Arabidopsis thaliana: one gene and its partners. The protein of the gene in region 2 purifies or fractionates together with the protein of the main gene of each other region. This does not show direct contact. Each region holds a gene or a part of one and is shown on either strand. Other genes may lie near its edges. The genes, in order: AT1G60080, AT5G35910, AT4G32175 and AT2G07110.

Region 1 (4,951 bases), on a different chromosome or scaffold from region 2:
TTCCTCAACTACGAAGGAAAATTTGCATGGGTTTGCTCTGACGACGTCTCTGGTAAATGATTTTGGGTTTTGGAGGATGAAGAGAAACAAGAACGGTCACTTAGAAAATTTCCTCAACGTGACCCGATCTGGAAAGTTTCTTGGGGGCTGAGAGGTATTACTCATGATCCACTGGTGAGTTTATTTATACAGCTGCAACAACATCTGAAGCAATTTATGTCTTATATTATGATCCAAAAAGAACCCTAGTAAGGAGGGTCAAATATGATTATATGAAGGAATTGGTGACGAAGAATTCTGGAAGCTTAATCATAAAAATGTAAGAGAGGTCCGCTATTATCATAATCACACTGAGAGTCTCATGTCTTTGGAGGAAGTTCCTCGCTTAGCATATGATTCTTCCACAGATTCAGAATGATTTTATGTTATTTAGTATTTAATTAGTCTCTCGAGGACTTTCCTCGTCTAGTATGGAATATTTCTTTCACAGATTCAGAATGGTTCTTGTTACAATGCCTCTTTTAAATGGAATAATATTTTAACATACCCTTACATTATAACATAAAAAAATTCAGAAAAGCCTAATCAAAAACAAACTTGCGATGGTGGTCAACAAACAAACTTGTTAATTGCTTTTGATTTGAACATTTGTAAAATTAATCAGCTTACGCACATTTCGGTTCGTTTGAAATGGAGATAATATAATCTCACACTTACACTAGCACTAAATTAAAGTCGTTATATGACAAACAAAACCGTAACACAATCGAACAAAAATGGTGAAGAGCTTCTTCCTTTGCCTCTAAATGGGTAACTTGGTGATCTGATTAAAATATGTAACACAAAATTTCAACAATGTTATGGAATCGTTCCATCTGATAAATTAGTCGATATCCATCTCTCCCAATATCTGCTTAAGCTCCTTTGCTCTCTTCCTTGCTAACTCGACACAGCTCTGCGCATAGCAACTTTATAAGAAACAAAAAACGGTGTAAATCAAGTGGTGGATTAACCTAAGAGAAAGCTAAAACTCTCACCTTGATGGCTGATGAATAGGCGAGAGCAGCTCCTCCTGATTTGTAGAAAGAAACCATTTGATCCGAGGAATCCAAAACAACAGTCACAAGAGTGTCCATGATCGATTCTTCTTCGGTTGTTGGATCTGCTAAGATGTAGTTCTTGTGAAGTATGCAAGTTAAAGAGAAAGGAATGTTCTTAAGCGTAAGTTTTCTCTTCTCCTTGTTCACTGCTTCTTTCTCGGTGATCAAAGCATTGTCTTGATCTTTTTCTCCAGTGACGGCAACTATTCTTCCATTGTCATTCAGAGCAACAATTGGAATTTGCACTGCAATATAAAAGATATTTTATGCATCAGAGGAAAAATTCTTCTGTCTCGGAACACCAATCACACAACTTCTGAACAAACCGCTATTGTGCAGGGAAGAATATTACTCAGGTATGACTCACTCAGCAAGATTTAAGTGTTCTCTAAGGCTTGCTCTTTTTACTCATATTCGAAATGGATTTGATAAACTTGAGAATCAGCTTTATTCAAAGGTTCTCTAAAGGAGCTGTGAAACCAACTAAAGGATGAGAACAGAGAAGAACTTACGATTGGAGAAGGCTGCGACAGCAGCAAGCAGAGCAGCATCAAAGAGAGCACCATCAGCATCCAGGCAATATATGTCCTATGAGAAATTTCAGAGAGCAACAATGTTCATATATATGCTAGAGAACTCAGTTAAATATCAAAGAGAAAGATCCCTAGAAGAATAGATGTGAATCAACTGACGGACAAGCACCGATATAAGACCAACGAGTACTCACCAGATAACCCATCCAAGCAGCTTTTCCACTAACTAGACACAGTTCTTTAAGATCAATCATACCAGAACTAGAACAAAAAAGAAACACTTTTAGAAGGAACATTGTATTTGATGCTCAATGAGACAGAGAAAATATAAAGAGAAAGATCAAACCAAAACACACCTTAAAATAGTATCAGACAAACGCTTTGAAATAACGGGAGCAGCTTCGGCTGGTCTTCCAGGACGAACAGTCGGAGAACAAATTGGAGGCATATGGAACTCAATAGCTACCAAAAAGGAATCACAAAATGAATCACCAAAGAAGAACAACAAACCACATAGAGAACAAGACAACGAGATAACAACCTATGCATCCTTCGTCTGGAGAGTCCGTAGAAGGAGTCATAACTTCCATTCTAATAGCAGCAAGCATAGTCTATAAACACGAAACAACTATGTAAGCAAAACATTGCTGATCATGTGAATACTATCGAAACGACTAAGGCGGGTTCTTACAGTGGAACCAATCTTAGCAAGAGCAGACCCATCAGCAGTTGAAACAAGTCCTACAACAAACACAAGAAACCACTATAAAGTTGACATTTTTAATTTGATAAAAACTAAAAAGAATCAATCTTCATTGTTTATACCAAGATTAACAATGGTGTCTCTAGCTTTTCCAAGTTGTCTTCCATCAGGACGAAGAGATTCAGAGAGATGACGCTCAAAGAAACGAAGAGGGAAGATTCTTCTAAAAGCATCAACTTCCATCTCTGTCGACAAGTCTTGAGCTGCATCTGGTATTCCCATGTTTTCTTTAGCTCTGCTTCATGTCACAAAGATAAAGAGAATCATAAACCAAAAGTCTCTGAGTCTGTGCTTCATCAACACAGTCTCAAGGAATCACAAAGCTTACCTTGGGACAAAAGAAAGAACTGCCTTTGGTACACGAAACTGTTGTAGTGAAGAGGAAACACAAGCAATAGAGTGTAAGAAGAAGATTGAGAGCTCGCGGTGTCGTAAGTAATGGGGATTTCGACGGAGACGGTGACGGTGACGACGGCTAGGTTTATCTGAGTTTTTAACTAAAGTACTTCTTCATTCTAAATGGGCCCCAAACAAAGCCCAATAATGTTGCGAAGCCCAAAGAAATGCGAAATAAGAGATTTGTTTGCTTCACAAGACATGAGTATATTGAAATTTGGGTTTTCAATTAGATGAATTTGGCGAAAATATGAGGCGCACTTGATTATGAGCTGAATTTGGGAAAATGTTTAGTGTAAATTGTAAAATATGAAGAAGAAGAAATGGCGTCAAAATGAACATTATACATTCTTGTTTTATATCCAATTTTGTTAATCCTCCATACATTACTTAATGGTGTTTAATTATAAGTTAAGAAATTTCTCTTTTACTATATATATCGTTATAAGTATTCGTAGAAAATTTCAATTCAAAACATCGTTATAAGTATTCGTATATTGAAATTTGCAACAATCAACAGAAAAACTTATCGTTATTCCGTTTTTTTCACATCTATTTTAAAATTTTAAGATAATGTATGTTTAATATTTTATGCTTTGTAATAATTATTAAGTTTTATGAAATAAAATATTTTTTTCTTTATAAGAGGACCAAATATTTTTACTTTAATACCTCAAAAGTTATTATATCATAGTCCATACTATTAACAAAAATTTAGGAATACCCAAAAAAAATTGAAATGTAACAAAAAGTCCAAAAATATTTTTTTGGCCCAAAAGCCCTCATATATGTGGGGCTGGGGCTGCATAGCCGCATGGTTTTCCGGTCCCCTAGTTTCTTTCGTTATTTGGGTTGGTCAGACCTGGGCTCCGATCCAGCGTAATCTGTTTCTTATCATAGTAAATAAAGACCATAATTCATTTCAACACACTTCCCAATATGTTTCTTATCTAAATTGCATCATCATTAATGTCTACGTCACAACTATATCTAGCGGGTACGCAAATGGCTACTGGACTTACTTATTCTAACATGGAACGAAGAAAAGAGTGTGTGTGTGTGTGAGAAATGGAACAGATTTTGGCTCTGTTTGCCATTTTTCTTGCTTTTGCTTTCTCCGGGAAATGCAGCGACGTTTTCAGCAGATCTGACTACCCTGAGGGATTCGTCTTTGGAGCCGGCACTTCTGCTTATCAGGTTTGGAACCAATTTATGAGCTTCTTTTTTCTTAACTTTTGAACAAAACTGAACCAAATGTTTGGTCTCTACTAGTGGGAAGGAGCTGCTGCAGAAGACGGAAGGAAACCTAGCCTGTGGGACACTCTTTGTCACTCTCGTAAGCTTTTCATTTTAACACAAACTATTATTAGTATTAGAGTTTGTCACTCTTGTGCTTTGATTCTTGTTTCTAACATTGCAGGTGACCAAGGTAACGGAGATATAGCATGTGATGGGTATCACAAGTACAAGGTTCTTTAGCTTCTCTGTTTCTCTGACTACATCATGAGGTTTTATTCATCAAGCCTGAGTTTCATTATGAATTTATACAGGATGATGTGAAGTTGATGGTGGACACTAACTTAGATGCTTTCAGATTCTCCATCTCTTGGTCTAGGCTAATACCTAGTAAGTTTTCTTAAACATGTTATAGCTCAGTGAAGGGATCAAATTTATGATCAGTTCGTAATTTATTATCTGATTAGATGGAAGAGGGCCTGTTAACCAAAAGGGTCTACAGTTCTACAAGAACCTCATCCAAGAGTTAGTAAGCCACGGTAAGACCTATCTTCATATCCACGGTAGGACTCAAGAGTTAGGTTTAGTTCGTATTAACTAGAGTTTAAGTAGACTTACTACAGGAATTGAACCACATGTTACACTCTACCACTATGATCATCCTCAGTCTCTGGAGGATGAATATGGAGGATGGCTCAACCACAGAATGATGTAGGCGTTACTTATTTTCTCTTACAGATTTTGTAGTTTAAGATAAAATAACAAAAGTTGATGTTATTTGCCATTGCAGCAAAGACTTTACTACTTATGCAGATGTTTGCTTCAGAGAGTTTGGGAACCATGTCAAACTATGGACCACGATCAACGAGGCTAATATATTCTCTATAGGAGGTTACAACGATGGGGATACACCGCCTGGTCGT
Region 2 (7,730 bases):
GTCTATAACCATATTACATTTGAAGATCATTTAAAACATATAGATTATTTGATCAATCAGATGAGAGATTAGCTTCAGTTTTCGAAAGATAAAACTTGAGAATGAAAGTTGAGTAAAACAATTGACTGGAACAAGAACTTTACTACTTCAAGCCAGACACTAAACTAGATATATATATAAAAGCACAAGGAGACTGGTTCATAATCTTAACTATGAATCAGATTTGATGGTTTGAGCTAAGAGTTTGTATCCCTAAGTCCCATCAAAGTTTGAGTTATGAAGTTGATAAAATGAAAACGATCAAAACATAAAATTCACCATAGCCCACAACCAAAACAAATAAATGATCTTAAACAGAACCATCAATCAATATTGACTGCCAGAAGATCAATTTTTAAAGGACATACTTCGGTTCCCGGATGCCGGAAAAGCTTGACGCCGTTTTCCTTGACCAAACTCTGACTGCTCCTGTGTAGACCCCTTCTTCTGACCTGCTGCAGCTTCTCTCTTTCCTTGTCTTCCCTTGTGTCCTTCCCCAAATTTCACCTCTTTCCTTGCAGCTTCATAATCAAAAGGCTCTATGTTTAAAAACTCGGTCTGCTTTTGGGCCTTCTTGCTCTTATTCATGGATTTAAAGCACTTCTGAAAGTTTGTGGACAACTCCGAGAGAGACATTGGTTCATCTTCAGCGTCAACTTTTTTCTCATCACCATTTTCTAGTAGTATAATATCGCCCATCTCGGAGCTAGACACTTTGGACTCTGAAACTCTACCAGAAGTACCAACGATCTCTGAGGCTTCTTCTGAATCATCTTTCAACTCTTTCACACCATCTTCCTTGGAAACAGAGGCTGGCATAGTACTGGACATCTCTTCAGGCTTCCCATAAACTTTCGGAGATGTTTCAGAAGTTGACTTTGAGTCAGGAACTTTCTCTGTAAACGAATGGAATGACAGGTTTACAGATGATCTTATCTGTTCGAGCTTCACATCTTCCTTCACCTGAAAACATTTTTATCAATCATTCTGCAACCAAAACCAACTATAGAGTTTTCACATATATAAACTCACCTTCTCATCAGTTCGAGATTTCTTCTTGGAGGCTGCATTTCCCAGCAAAGCTCCTAAACCACTGCTTGGTTTCTTAGAGATCCGAACAGCCGCAGAAACCTAATAAATAACAGATATGTCTTTGAGAGCCCGGCATGGATACTAAAGAGCACCAACCAAAAGAAACAACTAGGTGTCACCTTAGCAGAACCAAACAAGCCGGATCCTAAACCTCTCCCTTCATTAGTATTTGCTGCACCCATAATTAGGTCCCTGGTACTCTCAAGCTGCGAAGAATTTTCCTTCAGACTTGGAGAAGCCACATCTCCTGTGTGCAGGTCTTTCTTCTCACTTATAGGTTCAATATTCTTATCCATTACCTACAATATAAGAAGGCCACATTTTAAACAGACATGGAGAATACAGGAAAACAGTTGAAACCAATAAGTATCACATGCACTCTGAATTCGAGCCATAAGGTGAGGTTTCAGAAATATGAAATTTGGATTCATAATTAGTCTTTGACAGTAAATTATTCCAACTCTAGGCTCTTGTTTTCTTTGCAGGTTGAGTTTTAGAGGGTTTTTAATACCCTAATCGGCTTTCAACTAGCTTATACACCTCAACCGAAAGCTTACAATAATAATTATACAAAAAGGGAATAGAAACTAAATCAATAGAGATATCTCACATTTCCAGGAGACACATCTTTTAAAGATAGAGCAGCAGACTCAAATGCTGCATAATGTTGCATTGATTGCCTGATGACACTGACCACCGAATCAACATTACGCTCGATATAAGGATGCTTTGACTTCAACATCCGACGCAATTTTCCAACACTATCAGGCATCTCCTTGGCTATTAGGATAGCAACATTAGATTACGTTAGGAACTTAGGAATTGCCAAAACAAATCCACTCTCTGCCAGATGGTAAAATTGAACTCTCAGCTCTATATACCTATTTCAAGGAGAACTTTGTTTGGCAATACATAACCAGTGCTCTCATCCTCCGCACGTGCAATGAAATCCCTCCATTCACAAAGCCCCTAAGAGAAAGTAAATTTTAAGTTAGCTTTAAATAGTATAGGAAAAAGCAGTGTAAGTATGCATCATTCTTCACATCACACGAAAACATCATACCGCAACAATGGCAAGTTGAGCTGCATTAAAGCCCGCTGCTTGAAGCCTAACAAAATGCCAGAATGAGAAATATAATACTGGTTTATGTAACTTAGCTCAAGAGAAGCCAGCTATTAAAACAACAATTTGATTAACAGATTTAATCAACAAACGCATACACCTTGTCTGCTGAAACAAAATAAAATAAGTATGTAGACCCTCTCAAGAAAAAGCAACAAACCCATATACGTGAAGATATGAATTCTCGGTCAATAACTCTTTCTCATATAGTTGTGTGCACACATCGTAACTCCGCTTGTAGACCTGTAAGAAACAGTAAGACAAAAATAATAGAAAGAACATATTATTCATGGGCTATATATCCACTGGATGTAACAATATCTAGACAAGTAGAGTCAGTTGAGCTGAATTACCAATTTTAGACACATGAATTCCAAATTATGTGGTAGGAAATTCTATTTTGACTATGCTTACAAAAGTCAATTCAGACAGAGAACTATTTTATGCATGACGGATGCCATTGAAAGTTATTCTTAAAAAGTATTAGAGTGTTGCAAACCTAGAAAATCACCTAGGTGAGGCAGCTAGTATATAATAAGAACACTGAAAACCCAGTACCTCCCAAAATCGCTCTTAAAAAACATAAGAATGTTGCAAATGTGGAGAATCACTTAAGTTAGGCAGCTAATAAAATAAGAATACTGAAAACTTAGCCTAACCTAAGTGATTGGCCACATATCATTTTCCACTAACAATGTTATGCCATCAAGTTTTTTAAGGCTACACAAATTCCTATTTGCTAGTGTGGGAAAGTAACAGAAAGATAGTAAGAACCAAGCAGACACTAGCAAAGACAATTATACATCTATCATGCAAATACCAACATGCAGAGGAATATTATACTTTTCAGCATAGTTTAATGATGACTACCTCAAGTAGAGGAGAGTCAGTATGCGCGTCATCCTTTGCCATTCTCTGCAGTTCTAGTTTGATTAAATCATATATGTATAAGAGGTAGTGGGTATCTTCTCTTGCATATCTGCAGGGAAATCCAAAAATGTGAGCTCAAGTCAACTTAGGCCAGAACAGTAGTGAAAAGACAAAGGACAGAGAAGATTGACCTTGTCATTTCCTCTGGAAGGGGTCTTATTCTCCAGTCTGCATTTTGGTACCTACAGCAATAAACAAATCAGAATTTGGAAGTCCAGTGATAGACGAGAGTGATACAAAATCCAGATAGGACTAGTACTAACTCTTTATTTGCAGTCACTCCACAAAAATGCTGCAAAAGAAACTCCAGGCTATTTCTCTCCAAATTTAGAACCCTGGAGGCCTGAAAAAATCAAATTGTTTCTACTTAGGGGAAAAAAGCTAAATAATTAAAATTTCTTTCATGTATCATGTATGCTTCTTAGTCGCCACAGTATGAGATCCAAAGCTATTCAACTAAACCAATTGACTTGTGTCTTACAACACATACCACAAGTTACTAAAATTCAGGAGGGGGTTGAAATTATCTCCTAAAAGGACAAGAAAAATCCAGAGTTGTGCAAATCGTTGCCAGTTATCCCTTTGATGGTATAATTAGCTAAAACCATTCTCAAAATAGCTTAGTTCAGTGTACTTTGATCGGAAGAAAACTTCTAATTTTCTCTTTCCAGGCATAAAGGAAAAGAGAAGAAGAAAGCGGGATATTAAATTCAAAAGCCAATATGTTGCCATCATTCTTCTTCCATAAAGCAAAAGGTGTATGTTATGGATACTGGATCTCCTATGTTTTACAGGAAATGTCATAGAAAAAAATAGAAGATCATCGCTGAAACAAAATCAAACCTGTCCTGTGTCAAAGAGATTGCAGACATATATGCCGAAGTCCCGTTGAAGCCAGATAATATCTCGATCTGCTCCATGCATTACCTAATTACATAAACAGATTTCAGAGCACAGAAAATATATTTTAGACCTTTTGTAATGGAATTGAAGTATCCCAGGAAAAACCTTTTTCTTTTTAGGGTCTTTGAATATCTCCCTTAGATAAGGCCCAATGTGAATACGAAGCTTAAATGTATCAACTATATAATCCTCTGTTCTGGTGGAAATTTGCATCAAGCATGTCAATCCTTGAAAAGATCTATACTGATTATGCTCCAGATCAACCTAAAAAGAGCAAAAACAAAAAACTTAAGAGAAAGGGGAGAAATAAGCATTGGCAACTCAAACTTGAATATATTTTTTTGGCTTATCTAATCAAGGAGAGAAGTCTTATATTCTCCAAACCAAATTGCTGAAGTAACTATCACATTGGTAGTTCAGTATTATTCTAAAGAAACTCTGTAAAAGTGTATAACCAAGTAGCAAGCCATTATGTAATAATGATAGGATCATCAAATTCCTTACTACTTCTACCAAGAGACATTATGATCAAACAATTCACTGCAGACTGCACATTGGACTACTAAAGACAATCAGAAAAGAAATTTACCGCAAACTCTTCAACACTACGCAGTTTGGCAACTAATTCTTTCAGATCTTTCACTTCCTGGACGAACTTGAATGGAGTCTGTTCCAGTGGAAGGGGCTTCACAGGTTCCATCTCGTTTACATCTTTGTCAACGAAGTCAAGCACTGAAAATTTCTCCTGCATAGTATAATAAACGTATAAAAAGAGAGAAAAATGCCAAGAAAAGGCCAAATACTGACAGCCAAAACATAACCCTAAGAAAGTTAAAAACAGATCTTTTCCCAAGCCACCTTTTCATCAATACAATACGGTAAGCTTACAGACACTAGAGTCTTAATGTGGCTGTTAAGAACACAGATAATGCTAACCAAAATACAACACTATTGGCAGTACAGGGCAGGTTCTTAAGAATAACTTCACTACATTCAAATAGAAATTCTCATTCTACACTATACTGGTAGCATCCTCACTAAACCAAGCCAATTTTCAAATAAAGTCTAACTCTATCCAAAGTTCAAACCATATTATTCCACAACAACTAAACAGATAACTCTAAAAAACACAAAACACTAACCAAAGGATGCATAGCCCGCAGATCATCCTCGCTCCTCTCCAACCAAACATGCTCAAACGGTAGATTCGCATTGTTCACCAATATGTTATACTCCTCTTGAGGCTTCTTTATAGTTGGTACATGAAAAGGAACTTTAGCCTTACCAGATGAATTCTTATCCCTCTCAGCCATCTTAACATCAATCACAGAACCACCACCATTAACCGCTGCCGAGCCAGTAACCACATTACCAACAGGCTTCTTCTTCTTCCCATAAACCATCTGAAACCCATCATCTCCATCATCAGCAACAACAGACCTACCAATTTCCTTCTCTTTCTTCCTAATCCTCTGAAACTCATCAACAGAAACATCAAATCTCTCAATCAATTCATCATTCACGTTACATAACCAATCCTCCGCATATACGTCATCAACATCGCCAGGAAACTTCATCGATTTCCCCCAAACTTGCTCGGAATCACCGATCGTTGCAAGAGTTGATTGCGAGGTTCCAGTTATCTCATCGATTGGGCGTTTGAACTCATCGAAATTGTAGTAAAAGTGAAAATCTCTACTCGTTGGAATTAGGCGAGAAGACGATGAGAGTCTCGAGAGAGTCGAAGAGAAAGAAGAACCATCGATTAATTTCTCCAGAGACTTTACCTTCCAAGAGACTGGTGATTCGTCGACGTCCATGTTACCGTCGCTCATTATCTCCGCTGGAGAAAAGATCAAATCAGAGAATTGTGATTTTAGGGTATCTCTGGGCTTGGCTAGGGTTTTAGGAACATTATTCAATGAGAAACTACTGTGGAGCTGTTTTAGTATATACACTTAAGGGCAAGAACGTAATATCCGGTATTTAATTAATTCTAGGATATATCGAAATATATAAATATTTATTTTAAAGATTTTTAAGGATATTTCCTACTCGTTTGGGATAAATTAGCTACTCCAAAACCAAAAATTAGCAAATCAGATCTTTGTTCATTGCATATATGAAATCTCAATATTTATGCAATGACAAATTCCAAATGGTTGGGGGATTCAAAAAACTCAACTAGTTAGACGAATTCAAACAATTCAACTAATTAGACGAAATTCATACTCACACTATATAAAAGGTTTTGAAAATGGATATATATCTAAACTCTTTGTTCTCTCGACAAAAAAACAAAACAAAAACTAAAATCTTTGTTCGAAAAAACGTTATGTGTTAGTCGGGGGCTTGGTATGGGCATAAAGTTTAATCAGGAACTCTCAATCTAAATGTATGCATAATAAAAATAAAAATTGTTTTATATTTCCAATCTAAAAATAATCTGGGTATGCAAATTTAGGCGAAAAGTAATCGGATGTTATCTTTTGAAGAAATTAGTCATTAATCGAGGTGGATAGAATAAGCCTAGCGTGCAATTAAGTGGTGAGTAATCGGAGCTAGGCGGAAATTTTAGAACAAGATCTAAAACTAATGAATATGTTGGTAATAACTAGATTTCTTAGTTAGGAATGTACTTACCAATTTTAGTGCACGACGGAGTCCACTTGCCCTTCCGCTTGCGTCATCAAACAACAGATCTAGTCAATTTTGTTTTTGATCTCGTCAACTAAAGGTGTCAGACGGGCCGGCCCACGCCCATCTAGCCCGCCCCGCAGTGGGCTTTCTTTTTTCGGGCCGCGACGGGTTGGTCCGTTTAGGACCGCGGACAAAATTATCAGTGTCCAAGTCCGGTCCGCAAAGCCCAACGGATATACGGGTCGGCCCGCAGGCATTTCTCTGCTACGCATCAAGGATTTTTGAGCTGTGGCATTGTCTGTACAAGGCAATATCTCGTCCAGAGCCGTATTGCTTGATGGTCTCTCAACCCATTCGTTCATTGCCACACATGTGTCTGCAGTACAAATCGAAGAAACTGCAGGAGAAGAAATGATAACAAGATCACTAAGGTCAATACATTAGTTGATAGTTGAGAAACATGTAGTCAAAGATGAAAACATTACCGAGACCAAGAAAAGTCACCACAAGCATGACGATTGAAACTACGATAAGCGCCACTCTCCTGCGAGTACAGAAATGACTATTATACATTTGTTTTTCAAAATCCAAAGATTCTGTAACAGATAGACTGTTAGGAGGAGTTTGTTACACAGAATCAAGGAAATGTCTTATGTGATTGGAGTTACTAGTCGATTTCTCAGTGATAGTAGCTACAGAAGAATCCAGTTTCGCTCCGATCTGATCGATTTCAGTTTGTACATTTGCAGGTAAAAGAACCTGAAGAACTGCAGCCTACTTGGCTGAAGCAAGATAATCTGAGATAGCTCTAAAACAAAAGGATCATAAAAACAGAACCAAACTAAAACAAAAGTCAGGACTGAAACATAATTGTAACAAGTTAAACTCAAATGTGAAACAGAAAATGAACTTAAGTCAAGAGAAAGACCTGCAACTTCTTCAACGCAAACATGATAACTGAAACATGAACTTAAACTCAAATCCAAACATGAATATCAAACTT
Region 3 (4,553 bases), on a different chromosome or scaffold from region 2:
AAATGGATGTGGAAGTCCTTGTATCGACCTCAGACAAGTCAGCTCTGAGCTTGCAGCCGCTGCCAAAGACGCTGATCTTGTATCTACAAAACCTTCTCTGTTTTCTACCTGACATAAACTTCAAACACATCAAAAAAGAGAAGCTTTGTTCTTTATTTGATGTTTAACAATATTGCAGGTTGTCTTGGAAGGTATGGGAAGAGCACTTCACACCAACTTCAACGCTCAATTCCAATGCGAGGCTCTCAAGGTTTAAACCTCACTTGACAGAAAATTTCAGCTCTAGAACTGTTATTGAAACTTTTGGCTGAAACCTTCTCTTCCTTTTTGGCAGCTAGCAATGGTTAAAAATCAGAGATTGGCTGAGAAGTTGATAAAAGGAAACATATATGATTGTGTATGCAGATACGAGCCTCCCTCGCTTTAACAATGTTATGTATCATTTCTTCAACCTTTAGACTACTGTTGTATACAGATTAAGCATTCGTCATGTGGCATATGTATTTTTATTTAGACTACACTTTTACTGTATAAAATTGTATTTGAATGAATCAAAATCACTTGCTATAAAGAGCATCATGAGGGTTCAGTTACATTTCAAGAACAATAACGTTTAGTCTGAAATTATCGCGAGCAATTTCTCAACCATGATTCTCTGCTGAGTCCCACTTAGAGATTCCGAGTTCATTATTGCATTGGCCACGATAATGACTATACGTGGAGCTGTCGCATTTACCCAAACTCTGCCATTTAAGCCCACAGCTATCTCGAACGAGAGTTTCTTTCCAAGAGCCTCAATGACCGGGCGCGTTGGTGAATTCAACAGCCTATAAGAGATGAGAAAGTAAAGTTGTAATGGCGAAAGAAGATAGATAAAGTATAAGGAGACATTTTTTATGAGGAAGTATATCTCACATTCTTGAAAGACCAGTTGAAGTTTCAAACATGAAACCATCTCTCAAGGGTCCAAATAATGCAGCTTTCCCACTAGCTAATACATAGAAACAAGAGACAATTAGTTTAAAAGGGATTAAGAGAAGCAGCACTGTTTTAGCCTCCAAAGCTTTTAACTTACCCTCGGTACAAGACAGCTCCGGATTCATTCCTATGTTTGTCTTGACAACCCGGAGATAAAGCAGAGTGCCTACCTGTTTAGTACACAAAAATTTGAACATTCCAGAAACAATCAATTCATAGAGAATGTCATATCCCAAATGAGAATTCAAGAGAGCTTCCTGAGTCATCAGAATGTACATGCCTCAAACTTGGGAATATTTCTTCGTGTTCCTCCTTCGAATGCAAGAACTGGCAAAAGTGCTAATTGAGGTCCTTTAATGTCCACCCAAAAATTCTGCAATGACATGATGAGTAAAAGAAACAATTCAGTACTTACTAAGGCGATGTTAGTTCATGCAAGAAAGCTTAACTGCAGCTGATAATTTAAAAGTCAATTAACATTTGTTTGTCCAATAATGGTATCAGTTTTCTTCTGATTTTAGACCATAACTTCAATACTCCCACCTATTTATTTACTGATCCAAGACCATCAACAAACAAGTTCACCTTTATTGGCTCAGAGAAATGAGGACTGAAGTCGCGGAAACTGACAAACATATATTTGTATCGTATTTGACAACTAAAGTATAATAAAATGCTTTCAGAGATGACCAGTCTGAGAGGGATCCAAAAACAACACAAGAATCTATACAAGCAATGATTTCAAAGGACTTACATCTGCCCTAGAATCGACCACGATTCCAAGAACATGATCATCAGGGCGAGGTATATACTGCAAAAAAAAAACATAATAACAGAGTCAGCAACAAAGAGAACGAGACTTACATAGATAATTAACAAAACAATATTCTACTAGAGTTTTGAAAACCAAAAATGGTAAATTGTCTTATCAAGCCAGATGTATATGATCAAATAACTAGGGAGAAAACTAGCAAGAATGATCCACAAAAGCATCAAATTGTCAAAATGCTACAAAAGGCAAATCTTCAATTCTTCATGATGCAATTGTGCCAGGTTATTTGTTACTTTTCTACTCATGATTAATCAAGTGGACCTAGTATCCGAGCAGATGACACAGTTATAATCCACAAGAAGCTCAATAGAGAAGCAACCAGAAAGGGAAGATTAGTAAGACCACTGAGCTCACCCGTTTATGAGAACTTTCGAGCCAATACTTATTAGGCTTGGAGTAACTTAATTTGCCAGCTCTCATGGCAGAGATAGCATCATTATCCTAAAATAAGCCAAAAAAACAAACACATGTCAATCTACAATTCCTTTTTAGTTGCAATTGTATATCACAAATCAAGTGCCCACTGGAATAATTGTTAGGATTCAAACAACACATAAGAAAGAGAAGAAGATGAAACCTGAAGAAGGCCACTTCCGAGCTTGATTGTTTGGTTATTCATGTTTGACAAATCAAGAACAACATCACCTGGAACCTAAAAATTGAAAACACCATGCTTCATTGTAACCAAATCGAATCGAAATCATAAAAAAGCCAACTTTTTAGAGATATACGGACCACAATCTGATTTAAGAGGCTTGTGGGAGAGACAGAAACTTTGGCAGCCATGAGTGAGGTGGGTTTTGGAGATAAGAACCCTAATATATGTTAAACTCTGTTAAAGCTTGTTCCTTGACGACGATGAGAACCCAGAAAGGAACAACACTGCACAGTCTCTTCTTTTTTTTGCACGCAAATTTTGAACCAAAACTATACCGAACCAGTCAATATTAGGATTTCGGTTTACTTAAACCGTAAAACTAAAAAAAAAAACTAAGAACCAAATCAAAACCAAACCAAAATGATTTTTTTATTTAATACATGAATAATTTCAAGCAGAACATCTCTTAGTAACAGTGATTTGAAGACCATGTTTCATTGACAATATAAAACCAAGAGCTGGCACAATCTTCTGTCCTTGGAGAACCTTAATGTCGTAGTTTCGTAATATCTCCACTGCCACTATCTTCATTTGAGTCATAGCTAGATGTTTACCTAGACAAGTTCTTGGACCGGCATTAAACGACAAAAACTTGAAGGAAGGCTCATGTTTTATGCCTCCATTCTCCGAAATCCATCTCTCTGGCTTGAACTGCGATGCATCTTCTCCCCAAACCGCTCGCATCCTCCCCAATGCATAAAGACAGATAATAATCTTAGAGTTTGCATCAACTTTATGGCCACTTGGAAGCACATCTGATTTGATTGGAGACTTGCGTCCGAAGGAAACTGGTGGGTAGAGTCTCATTGCTTCACACAACGCACCATGTAAATACACCAACTTGTCTACATTCTCTTGGCTATTTCCTGTTCTTGATAGATCAGTGTTGATGTTGATCTCTTGATGAATCTTGGCTACCACATGTGGATTTTCAGAGAGAAGCCAGAAGAACCAAGAGAGAGCGGTGGCTGTTGTGTCTCTTCCCGCTAGAATGAAAGCTAAGATGTTGTCTCTAAGGAACTTATCGTCACTCGGATTCAAGAGCTTGTACTTGGTCGTGTCTAGCTTTATGAAGGAAGTTAAAAGATCCTGACTTCCTCCATTGGAAGTCCCTTGTGATCTTTTAATCTCTTCTCTCTTGGCTGATATGTATTTGGCACACACGCGGTCAAAAGTTGCATTAGCTTCAGTGAGCTTCTTCTCTTGTCCGAATCCTATCCAGTTTTGCAGCTTCCACAAGAACCTTGGTTTAAAATGCCTATAAAGAATCCCTTCTCCAACATCGTCGAGAGCTTTAGCAAATTCGTCTTCAGGCATTTCAATGGAGAGAGATCTAGGATCAGAACCAGTTACAAGGATGAAAATTGTATCGAAAGTGAACCTCCCGAAGACGCTTTGCAAGTCAAGAGTTGTTCCTTCCTCAGCAAAATGATTAAGAAGGGGAACAAGACCGTACTTGAGTTTACTTGTCATGGTACTCATTGAAAACCTTTGAAACTCTTGACTATGGAGCATGGCTTGATAAGATTTCCTCATATTCTTCCATAGCTCCGAGTCCGTGGTGATGAAACTGTCTCCTAACACATCAAAAACATCTTGGAACTCCGGTCCTTTGATGTAGTTTGAGAAATTTGAGCTCATTATATGATGAATGTTAGCTGGATCAACCGTGAGCAACATATCCATTCCTGTGAACCGCGGTCCTTTGAATGGAAAGGTCAAGTCAGAGGTTTCGAGAATCTTCACGCTGTAGTCGTAGATTCGGTGAAGCGCCTTGAGCATAGCGGGTAGCATCCGGAGAACCGGCCAGTTCCTAGGGTACCGGCCATGAGGTTTCTTGAAGAGAAAGTAATGAAGGATGAGAAAGCAAAGGATAGCTACGGAAACTTGAAGTAAGCTTATTGAAGCCATTGGAGTAAGGCAATTGATAACACACAGTTTGCTGACACAATGAGAACTAAATTTATAAGCATACACTTCAGGGCACAAGTAAGGAGATGCTTTTTAAAATACACACTAAATTTCGTTATATGCACAAACTGCAAAGCACGTTTAATGCATGTATATCATCAAATTAGAAACTTG
Region 4 (2,976 bases), on a different chromosome or scaffold from region 2:
ATGCAGTTCTTATTGAAAGATATATTTCTTTCTTTTTTATAAACAATTTAAAGAATAATTGTTTTTTTATTTATTCCTCAAATCTATGTTTTTAACTTCTTATCCTTGAGAAATAATTATTCAGTAATTTTATTATTGGAAGATAAATCTCTTTCCTAAATAATTATTAAGAATTATTTGACATTTACTTTTAAGAATTATTTAATATTATCCCCAAAAAAGGGTGTTATTTCATTTTCGTAACAGATAAAAATATTCCTTTTCTTATTTATTTGAGTCGTACACGCGGTGGTATATATATAGATTCTCCTCTAAAGCCACCGAAGTCGGAGAAAGGTAATGGCGTCGGGGAAGCTTCCGTGGGAGTTGGAGGAAGAGATACTGTGTCGGCTTCCACCTGGATCCCTTGTTCGGGTAAGATCCGTATGTAAACACTGAACGATCTTCTCAACGACAAATGGTTCATCAAGAAAAGCTTGGGTTGTGCACGTCCCCAATTTATCATCCTGCCCGAATCCAAGATTTATTCGATAGGAACCATCGGCCTGGACGACTTTGATCCGAAGATAGAGGTGCGTGAGCTAGCCTGTCAATTTCATTTTAAGGCTGAGAAGTGGGCATTTACCAGGATCACGGCTTGCGATGGATTATTGTTTCGTGACTTTTGGAACCAAGGGGTTACCATTTGGAATCCATGGTTAAGACAGGTTGGGTGGATCGAGTATAAGGAGGACAGAGATTTCCGTTTTTGCGGTGTAGGATACGATGCTTGTAAACCCGAAAAGGATTACAAGATCTTTGGGTATTTTAGTCGTTTCTATGACACTACACTGAAAATCGGCCACAGATTTGCGATCTTTGAATGTGCGTCTCAAGCGTTTAAGTTCATTGATTCCCCGGAATGGCCAATGCTGGCAGGTCGAGGTGAATATGTGTCCTTGAATGGAAATTTGTATTGGACTGCTTACAATGAAGATACTCGTGAGCATTTTCTCGGAAGCTTTGATTTCTCCACAGAAATATCCATGCACTTTTGTCTCCTTCCTTGTGGGAAGCATGTTTCTGGCTTACGAGATAAACTTGTCCTCACTGTATTTAAGGGCGATCAGTTTGCATTGTTAAAGCAATCTCGTATATCAAGTAATACAGAGATTTGGGTAACAAATGACATGATTAACTCTAGTAATAATGTGGTGTGGTTAAACTTGATGACACTGTCAATACCTGATTTTCCCTCGCTATTCCATCAGCTTTCTGATATTAGTTACTTCATCCATGACATGACCCTTATCCTGTGCTGTGACGACAATCAAACTGGAGTGGGTTGCATCTTTATTGCGAGGGGAGACTTCTGCAAGAAGATTCAAATAGATTCTGTCTCTCTTGGGTTTTCTCAATGTGTCCATCTTCCAAGTTTGACCTCGGTTCCTTTGGAATTCAGATCACTGCAAGTTTAGAATTTCGATTTTTCGAGTACAAACAGTCTTTGAAATGTGATTCTTTTTTCATGTCTTTTATATTATACTAGATAAATACCCACGTGTAGCGTGGGTTTGTTTTGAAAATTGTGAAGCGTGAGTTTGTTTTGAAAATTGTGAAAAACAATTATTGATTGTTTTTGCTAATTTATGTTTATTTTTTATTCGTTATTATGTAGTTAATTAATAAAACTAAAACTATCTTATGTAGTTACAATTTTTAAGATTATATCTTTTTTTTTTACTTGAAATATAACTCGTGAAAGACTTACTTGTCAGCTGAAACCTCTTGCTTATTCGCGTAATATCCTTCATCGTCCTCATGGCTCTCCTAGTTGGTCAGAAGGTACTTTATCAGCTTTCTCAATATCTATTATGGGTACAAAGTTGTTTTTATCCTTTTTGAATGGGATACATGGAACTCTCTCGTTTATATTTTCAGAGGATACAAAAGTTCTATCTGCGCAATACGGACCTAAAGCAAGAACGAAGAAGAACGAAAATGCTGAGAAGGCTTGTTTGAAGTCATATGGAAGCCTTAAACCGGATAGATTGGTAATCGTAAATGCGTTTAGTTTTTCAGAAAGAGGCTTGTTTTGTCGCTTGAGTATGTAGTACAGGTGATTCTTGGTTTTTAGATGTGAATTTCTTTTGCTTTGAATATTGATAGGAAAAGTTGAAAAAGAGTATGAAACGATACTGAAAAGGACGCTACAGAGTATTTGTGTTTTGAGAGTTGTTCCAAATACCACCACCTCAGTGATTATTCAGGTGAGTAACTATTCAATGTTGTGTATATATATATTGTCAACTTGAGTTGTATCTGATGTTTTCATTTTGTAATTTCTGTGTAGGTTGTACATGATGGTGGTTCTGTATCGTTTTTATGTTCCTTTCACCTTGGTAAACATTTACTAATGCTGTCTGAAACACATATAATCCGGTATAAACAATGTCTGTTTGAGTATTTATAGAGTTTATAGTAGTGAAAGTTTGTAATCCCATAAACTGAGAGTGTGAATATGTTTTTGTGTAACTTCTACCGTGGCCTCCATTCTGGCAGTTAGAAGGTATTAAACGTTTGTTCTAAAGAAATATGATGTACAAAAAGGGAGACTATGAAGGATAGAATTTACGAAGTCGAGAAATTTACCTTGAGATTCTTCTTCTTTCATATTGAACGATCTAGCAGAATAAAAAAAAAAATACAAAACAGTCATACAAAACAGTCTTTCAAATTACTTGTTTTCTTAGCATAAATCTCGAATAGCTTAGATATATTTAATTTGCATATTTATTTAGTTTTTTCATAATAATCATCTAATTTTTAGGCAAGGAATATGTGTATCATGTTTGGATTTTATTTTTTTCTTCAAGATTAGTTTAAAAATTAAATTAGTTTTAAATATTAACTGTTAATTAAAATAGTTAAACTAATGATTTTAGAAATGAGAATTATTTAAAATTTTTAAATGAAAAACTCAAACTTTAAGAAATC

Evidence for each region.
Region 1: the proteins of AT5G35910 (region 2) and AT1G60080 fractionate together in Arabidopsis thaliana (co-fractionation; one large-scale study listed by BioGRID). This does not show direct contact.
Region 3: the proteins of AT5G35910 (region 2) and AT4G32175 fractionate together in Arabidopsis thaliana (co-fractionation; one large-scale study listed by BioGRID). This does not show direct contact.
Region 4: the proteins of AT5G35910 (region 2) and AT2G07110 fractionate together in Arabidopsis thaliana (co-fractionation; one large-scale study listed by BioGRID). This does not show direct contact.

Annotation. Positions count from the first base shown.
Region 1 is NC_003070.9:22,151,722-22,156,672, forward strand, and holds AT1G60080 (3'-5'-exoribonuclease family protein), read right to left. Parts: upstream 2,923-4,951; 5' UTR 2,725-2,922; intron 2,632-2,724; 5' UTR 2,619-2,631; coding exon 2,459-2,618; intron 2,375-2,458; coding exon 2,325-2,374; intron 2,245-2,324; coding exon 2,175-2,244; intron 2,096-2,174; coding exon 1,990-2,095; intron 1,895-1,989; coding exon 1,828-1,894; intron 1,689-1,827; coding exon 1,613-1,688; intron 1,346-1,612; coding exon 1,038-1,345; intron 956-1,037; coding exon 884-955; 3' UTR 509-883; downstream 1-508. Other genes in the region: BGLU4 (beta glucosidase 4), read left to right, coding at 3,861-3,989, 4,065-4,128, 4,213-4,262, 4,343-4,418, 4,496-4,567, 4,652-4,739, 4,819-4,951.
Region 2 is NC_003076.8:14,029,484-14,037,213, forward strand, and holds AT5G35910 (Polynucleotidyl transferase, ribonuclease H fold protein with HRDC domain-containing protein), read right to left. Parts: upstream 6,011-7,730; 5' UTR 5,923-6,010; coding exon 5,230-5,922; intron 4,833-5,229; coding exon 4,677-4,832; intron 4,352-4,676; coding exon 4,193-4,351; intron 4,112-4,192; coding exon 4,028-4,111; intron 3,528-4,027; coding exon 3,448-3,527; intron 3,367-3,447; coding exon 3,316-3,366; intron 3,234-3,315; coding exon 3,125-3,233; intron 2,498-3,124; coding exon 2,415-2,497; intron 2,241-2,414; coding exon 2,195-2,240; intron 2,101-2,194; coding exon 2,013-2,100; intron 1,912-2,012; coding exon 1,742-1,911; intron 1,431-1,741; coding exon 1,251-1,430; intron 1,171-1,250; coding exon 1,072-1,170; intron 1,003-1,071; coding exon 388-1,002; 3' UTR 91-387; downstream 1-90. UniProt on the Arabidopsis thaliana protein: Acts as an important epigenetic regulator through multiple silencing mechanisms. Involved in association with RRP6L1 in the silencing of the solo LTR locus. Controls levels of non-coding RNAs (ncRNAs) from the solo LTR locus.
Region 3 is NC_003075.7:15,533,598-15,538,150, reverse strand, and holds AT4G32175 (PNAS-3-like protein), read right to left. Parts: upstream 2,718-4,553; 5' UTR 2,597-2,717; coding exon 2,546-2,596; intron 2,463-2,545; coding exon 2,388-2,462; intron 2,252-2,387; coding exon 2,165-2,251; intron 1,790-2,164; coding exon 1,733-1,789; intron 1,352-1,732; coding exon 1,259-1,351; intron 1,149-1,258; coding exon 1,076-1,148; intron 992-1,075; coding exon 916-991; intron 828-915; coding exon 614-827; 3' UTR 549-613; downstream 1-548. Other genes in the region: PANK2 (pantothenate kinase 2), read left to right, coding at 1-79, 179-250, 335-427; CYP96A2 (cytochrome P450, family 96, subfamily A, polypeptide 2), read right to left, coding at 2,859-4,379.
Region 4 is NC_003071.7:2,952,086-2,955,061, reverse strand, and holds AT2G07110 (exosome complex exonuclease RRP46-like protein), read left to right. Parts: upstream 1-1,853; coding exon 1,854-2,085; intron 2,086-2,148; coding exon 2,149-2,249; intron 2,250-2,332; coding exon 2,333-2,452; downstream 2,453-2,976. Other genes in the region: AT2G07120 (F-box associated ubiquitination effector family protein), read left to right, coding at 340-414, 471-1,457.